Tribolium castaneum: one gene and its partner. The protein of the gene in region 2 interacts with the protein of the main gene of each other region in a pairwise test. Links are inferred from orthologs where the notes say so. Each region holds a gene or a part of one and is shown on either strand. Other genes may lie near its edges.

Region 1 (4,131 bases), about 2.9 Mb from region 2:
CACCTTTATTAGGTTAATTATACACAATGCATTTGGAAATACGGAGTGACAAAGTCAAACAACCGTCATCGAGCCAGAAATGTGACAGATCGGTGACCTAACTAAAGCTCGAATTTGGGGCGAAGGCGGAACAATTTGCCAAGTTTTTAAAAAAGTGGTTAACTAACTCGCCGAGCTTTCGCACGCTGCAAGCTCGTTGAAATATTTTAGCGACAAGTTGCGAAAAAATGTAGTTTTATTGGGGCAAGTCATTCGTTGCAGTAACAATCCCCAGGAGAAGACTAAACAAATGCGTAGCTTGGAACAATAATCTGCCCGAGTTGGCTGTAATGCTGGCTTTACAGCTAGCATTTTTTAAATGAAATCGGAGCTAGCGTAAGCGAGCATTCTTGTTCGCGAAAAAAGATGGAACGGTATATCGACGAAAATTACAATTGCAAACTCGGCCGCGTTTGGAAAAACTTGTGAAACTCCCTCAACTATCCATTATAGGCTTGACATAACAATAGTATTGGAATTTGTGTACCCGAGAAAGTCGGACGTTGGAACAAGTTCAGGTAATGTCCAATAAATTTAAGGAGTAAAACAGGGTTTGGGCCATTGTTGACGAAACTTCAATGGCGACTTCCTCTGTCAACCCGGACTTGAGTTACCGAACATGTAGACGATTTTACTACTGCAGGAAATGAGATAGAGACAACATGTAAATAAAGTAATAAAAGACCAAACGCATCACGCATAAATATTTTTATCGCTTAAAAAATCTTTCTCAGGTAAAACTAACGTTGCTAGAATTCTGATCATTTAACCCCTTATTTTCGACGAACTATCGTTGCAGTTAATTGCAGCCGGCCATTGTAAATCATATCGACTACAAATTAAAACTGAATTTTAACGGTAAAGGTCGATTATTATCACATCATGATTCAGATTTATCGGTGCACATCCATTCCGCCTTCATTAAAATGGTTCGAGCTACAAGCAACCGATTGTTCTTCCGTAATTTTATCTCCTTGTTAAGTATTTCCAAATCTAATCCCTTATCATTCCTGACCCGATTCCAAAGTTTAGTACAAAATTTATGAACGGTCAGCAGGATAAACCTCGAGGGATTATAGCCCATAAAAAATATTTTAGATAGTGAAAACGACACGCTCACCCTTCGAAATTGAAACAATTGCAAATTAACAAGTCTCTCCCAATCATACCTCCAAACGACTTTTTAATGAATTTTCGTCTGACGCAAATACCAGACAAGAGAACAGTGGAAAACTTGTTGGTATTTAAGAAATCAACGTTACTCCACAACTAACCCCCCAAACTTTCTAAGGGTGGGCTATTTTTAAATTAGATTCCCCTTTGTCGTGCTTTATTTAGCAATGAAAATTTATGTTTATGAGCTTTAGATACTCGGCCACGTGACGGCGAGCTTTGATAAATTGACCGATCGACTCAGCGCCAAGAAGCGAACCAGTGGTCCCACAATAATTACTGAGCCCTCGATTGACCAAAAATTTATTTTTTACACATTTTTAGTTTCGTTAAAGCAAAATTTGAGACAAAACTATTAATTTTCTCTGCACCACGGACTATATGAGAGGGTGAACAACATCTAATGAACTCTACTATGGACATATATACGGATTTAGCACATCATAAAAAGTATATACAAGGTGAAATAAAGTAAACATCGGTAGAGCTATGTCGGCAAAAAGTAGGCATTGAAATGAAACAATAGAATAGAGTTGGACCCAAAATAGATCCTTGGGGGTATCCCCACATTTCTAAAGCGGATTTCACACAATTTTTGACCACCCCCACAAGCATATTACGTGAAATAAAAAAATTAGACAAAAGGGTGAACATCAAAAAAAAATATTTTAAAGGAACACTAACTAGAATGTTATTTTTCCCAGTTAATAAATATCATTAAAGAACAGATTTTATTGTATTTATCAATTTTACCATTTTCGTATTTAATACAACAAAATTCAAAAAGCACATTTTGGTCGACTTGTTACGTGTTGAAAACGTGTCTTTACCAAAATGTAGGTTTAGTGACTATAAAGTCACAAGTATATTTGGATCAGATTAATCAAACGTTGTAATTTTTTAATTAGAGCAATTTGTTTCAAGACAGCTGCTTCACAATTAGCACAATTTTGTGATGTTTCATAAGGACCCACCATTTATCGTATTTTTGAAAACAATTTTTCCGTATAGAAAACAAGCAAAATATGAAATTGGACCCAGCGCAGATTATGGAGGAGATTTCTCTTTAAAACGCACCAATTATCTTGCAGTTCTGACTGTTATTATGTCGTTATTTTTTCAAGCGACGTGAGGATCTTTTGAAATTTGTTTCACTATTTTAATTAATTTACGAAGAGCGGGAACGGTTTTGTGTTTTTCCTGAATTTTGGTGGAGCTTTGCTGTCACGTGTTACCTTCGCCTCTTGGAGTAGTGCGCGACCGGCGTGGGCTCCTGGCCCATGGGCACGGGCGCGACTTGGGGGTGGTGTGGCGGCGGCGGATGGGGCTGGAGGTAGGTGGGGGGCGGCGCATAGTGCGGGGGGCCGCCCCCGGCATACGCGTACATATCCACTGTGGCGGCACTGCTGCACCCGGAGTACGGAAACAGAGTGGCGTCGCGACGTCTTCACAGGGGGCAGCGGGCAGTGGCGTGCTTCCGCTCTCTCGACAGGCACATGGCACGGGGGCACCGGCGGGAGGCACAGAACGACGCGCTCAGAACACTGTCGCGGACTGACGATGCGGCGATGGCGGCCAACATGACTACGGCCGACGGAGAGTCGGAGAGATGAGCATTGGTGGGGTATGCCGAGATTTTAACTACATGCAGGTACGCCGCCCGCTCCGAGGCAAGGGCCCGCAGCCGCCGCGAATCATCGCTTTCTGCCCGAGCTTAGTGCTCAACAGCCCTCGGAGGTTTCCTCCTCGCCGCGCGGAGCAAACACGCGATCCTTACGCACGGTACGCGCTTTCACTACCCCTAGTGCACATGTGACCGACGGGGAGCACACACGACTGTGAGTACTCTTGCGGCTAACACATCCACACCACGACCGATTCAGGGAACAAAATTTTGGACGGTCAGCGCGATTTTAACAAACTTATTCAACGCAAAATTCAAATTTTCGGTTTTTCTCACTGACGCTACCGACGGTCGCAGGATAAAATCCAATAGAAACAAAATACGCGTCAAATACACACATCCAAATAGAATTTGCTGAACGATTGCTGTTTTAATATTTTTTCTTTCTTGTGTTGCCGGTAATTTTGCATTTCTTATTTTTTTAAACAGATATTTCAGGAAGCAAAGTTTCGATTCTCCGTCCATATTGTTCGTTTTTGCGCCATTCCATGTGGAATTATATTGATAAAAAAATAAAATGAAAAATTAAATGAAAAAGATTGAAAAATTGACAATGAGTCTCCTTTCATTTTTTACGTTTCTCTTTACTTTGACAATAATTCTGAAACTTTTTTATATCTTATAACTCTAAATTTTTAAATAAAAATCTTTGAAATAGGTCATTACTTGAAATTCCAATTCAATGTGTTTTCAGTTTTGAATATACAAAGTGAAAAAAGAGTCTAAAAATATTTTTTTCCAAATATTAAAAATTAATAAATTTTTACGCAGAAACCAGCATTTGCTAATAAATACCTTATATTTCTCTCTTTGCATGCGAATATTTTCAGTAATTTCTTAATTAATGAATTAGTACTCCCTTCCTTAAAAAAATATTATTTTGTATTATTAATTTTGTGCAAAAAAATCGTAGAAAATTGGCGCTAGCTCCCAGAATTCAGTACTAAATAAATAAAAAATTGAAATAAAGATAACTGGGGCTAATCACATTTTTTTTAATTATTGGTTTGTTTTAGAATAATACATATTAGTACAAATTTCCATTAATTAATATTTTAATATTCCTAATTAATTATTATTTATTATAAGGAGTTGTAGAAAAGTTCTGGAAAAAACTACATAGAGAAAAGTATTACGCATTTATTTAGTAACACACCCTGCTTTCTGTGTGATTAGTAGTTTTTAAGATACAGTACTGTAGTCTTGTGGAAAACTATATTTTCCTAATAATTTTC
Region 2 (3,517 bases):
AGGGTGGTTTTGGTTTGCATTTTATCTGATGAATTGTGTATTGGATGAGGGTTGTTGGGTAAATTCGTTGGTCAAATCTGTGTGTCGTGATTCATTTACATCTGGAAGAATCTCAATGTGTGATTGAAAGAGGCTCAAGGGGCCGAGTAAATTACGCTGAAGCAGCGGAATCAACAAATCCAGAGCGTCGCGCCGGCAATTGGACTTGTTTTCATTTTATTTTAGTACACCCCTATAAAGCGGCATTCCCAATATAATCGCATTATCTCATACTACCCTCCTTTAGTCCAATAAAACGAAAAAACTATAAGAATTGATCATAACAGGACCGCAATAACAGAAGGTGGCGAGTAAAAGCGACCGCTTTGCCGGACTCCGGAAAGAACGGATTCCGGGATTCCGGTCTTCGGGGACCGGAGCCGATAATTGAACCAAAGAATTGTCTCTGTCGGCATCGCGTCTGCCCAATTTACGGCACTTGCGAGGGGCAGCGTGTGAAAACAAAATTAAGGCGAACTTTCGCCGAAATTGGTAGAAATTGGCCTATGCTACTTCAACCGTCATTTCGGCCCTCGGGGACTTTGCCCTCGCTTGCCGATTATTAGGTTATCCGTCCAAAGGGCCGAACATACCTGGCGACACCTCGCCCCGCGCCAGGGCCGGATTACACCACTTATACCCAAACAACACACGTTTTAATTCGAGGACTCGAGAAGTCTAGTCGCCAAAAGTGAAAGGCACACGCGTTAGTCGCGTTTCTTTTTTGTCCCAGTGGGCTTAGAAGAGTTTATTTAATTTTTAAATGGAAAAAAATTACACCGACTATCAATTTGGGTAATCCGGGCCTGGCTCGCCCCCGATGGCCGTCCCCGGGGACGTTTCGGACGCCTTTCATCTCCTGTACTCCTCTCAAGTGCAAGATCCCTTGCATAGACGATTGACCGACGAAATGGCCCACGTCTCTTTCCTAGTCTTCTAGAAAGACGTTTTCTGCCGGAATGCTGACTGGCAGCCGCGGATGGTCCGGTTTATGGCCGACGTACGTGCAATCGTATGTCGCGCTAATGACCGGACCTCTCCGGGGACCCACACCCGGACCGACATCAAAAAGCTTCCGGATCTAATGTTCTACCATGTGTACGCGCGCTTCCCACCAAACAATGACGCACAGCGCTCCAAACACAACTCTCAACTTCCTCAGAAATGCTCAATTAAAACGTTATTTAATTATGTCCCAAAAAGATTTTCGGTAGTAAAATCACCATATGGTATTTGACCTGATTTCCCTCCAAAGATTTTATTCAAGTAACATACATTAACACGTAAGAATTTTGCAAAAAAGTCGCCTCTTCTTCAAATCCTACTGACTGCGCCAATTTCAGTTTTTACAAGAGACCAAACTTTATTTAGGTGTCAAAAAATTAATATAATTTAAAACCGACAAAAGAGCAATTTTCAATAGTACATTGAATGAAAAAATATAAAACAAAAACAATTTATAAGTATGTGTGCTGTTATCAAATTTAACAGATTCGATGAAAGAAAATTCTGAATTTATACCTTTCCCAATTTTTTTTAATCGGCATGTACAGATTTAGAAACATTTTGAGTTGAAGAAAATCTTTCTTAAATTATTCATTCGCTTTTTCAGAATAAAAATATACCCATATCCTGTAGGTTTATAATGTCTATTGCCCTTATCGGGGTGAAAGTACAAAAGGTTGAGCTAAATTTTTTTGTGTTGCTAGTGCAAGTGTCGAAGGTTTGTCGGAGGGGTGTGGGGTGGTGATAAGAGATTGTCGTTGTTGTACGTGTCGTCGAACGGTCGCGCTCCAAAGGCTCGTTAACCTGCCCCTTCCGTCCGCCTTAATTCTTCTAGTTCCAGTTCTCGTCTTACTGGACATTTCATTTTAGGATCGCCTAATCATCACCGTCAGCTTTCCGGTTTTCGTATTTTCCGCTCCGGATTCTGATGCGAGAAGGTTACTTTTCACTTTTATCCATCCTCGGGGACCGTTGTCCGGCCCGATTTCTACTTCTTTTCATTCGCGACTTGTTCCTTTGGGAGCTTTGATTTCAATACAGACTTGAATATCGGCGTGTTTTCCGATAACAGTTAACACTTAAATTAAGGGTAGCTAAATAACGGCGAAAAGTTTTAGGCCGTTTTCAATGGACCGTCTCCACTAAATGTGATCCTTCTTTTGTTACAGTATCCTCGAACTTAGGAAAGAGAAAAGCAGGGACGCTGCGCGATCGAGGAGAGGAAAAGAAAATTTCGAATTCTATGAATTAGCCAAAATGCTTCCGCTTCCCGCTGCCATCACCTCACAATTAGACAAAGCTAGTATCATTCGACTCACCATTTCCTATCTCAAACTTAGGGACTTCTCAGGGCATGGAGACCCGCCATGGAGTCGCGATGGCCCTCCTCCCAACAAAACCCTAAAAGGTAAGGAACCATCCCGAAAAAAATTCCGCGGAAGCGCCTAATTAACATTCCTCGCATATAGCCGGGAATAATGGACAAGGAGCGTTACTGTTACTGCCTGAGCTGTAATTTATTCATTCTCAATTCATTCTGCCATTGCCTCACTAATCAAAAAATCGTGTGTAAGAATTCTAATTAGATTAGAAAGTTGAAATCTGCATAATTAATTTTTTTATGATCTTAAGCAGCGCACGTATACACAAATTTTACTACGAATCCTTGTATAGCAATCGGACAGTAATGAATTTACCGTGCTTTCTAGCTTATTCTTGACGAACAATGAGCAATGAGGTTATGACACTACACTGTTTCAAAGCTTGTGACTGCAGAATAATAAAATAGGCGACCATTTTGTTTTTATTTAGTTGATATTTCAGTCCATTCGTTGCTGTGCTACGTGATTGTGAATCGTAATTTGAAATTTTGCTTAATGTTTATGTTGTTGAGCTGCATACTTAAAGTAACCACACAGTCAAAAGCAGGAAATTGCGTACCAATCCCTATGCCAAAATGACGCCCTTCCACTTTTGACTCTCCCTGAAAGGCAAAATGCTAACAAAACACTGAATAAAACCAGTAAAACAGCCAAAAATGATGATTGTTTAATTGGGTGGAGCTATCCCCAGAGCTAATCTGAGCCAAGCCCCGTCAACTGCTCAACCAATAAAAAGTCGAGATAAGCGATAAACAAAAAATTTTAAAGCGAGTCTATTGGTCGGAGTCGCAGCCGAATATTTAAGTGTGATGAGGATGATTTGATGAGCTGAATTCGGTGTTATTTTGTCGGCATTCAATCAAGCAAACAAAACTAACGTGAAGGAAAATATAGAGCGCGATAAAATATTATCACCGATAAAAGGGATTAATAGGGACATTCCCATTTGCAGCTGCAGATGGGAGCAGCATCTTTCATAAAAACAATATTGAGGCAGTCGAGGAGTTCTCTCCAGAGAGTTTTTCTTCGCCTGGTCAGCCCATAGTCCGGCTTGTGTTCCCGATAATTCAATAACAGACCTTTAGCTCGTC

Evidence for each region.
Region 1: the proteins of trh (region 2) and tgo interact in a two-hybrid assay, tested with the Drosophila melanogaster proteins (3 studies listed by BioGRID). The link is inferred for Tribolium castaneum from reciprocal best matches to the Drosophila melanogaster genes trh and tgo.

Annotation. Positions count from the first base shown.
Region 1 is NC_087403.1:1,484,485-1,488,615, forward strand, and holds the start of tgo (aryl hydrocarbon receptor nuclear translocator homolog), read right to left. Parts: upstream 2,805-4,131; 5' UTR 2,600-2,804; coding exon of another isoform or gene 2,590-2,599; coding exon 2,448-2,589; intron 1-2,447. UniProt on the Drosophila melanogaster protein: Heterodimers of tgo/trh are involved in the control of breathless expression. Plays a role in the cellular or tissue response to oxygen deprivation.
Region 2 is NC_087403.1:4,375,047-4,378,563, reverse strand, and holds part of trh (protein trachealess), read left to right. Parts: intron 1-2,213; coding exon 2,214-2,452; intron 2,453-3,517. UniProt on the Drosophila melanogaster protein: Transcription factor, master regulator of tracheal cell fates in the embryo, necessary for the development of the salivary gland duct, Malpighian tubules and the posterior spiracles.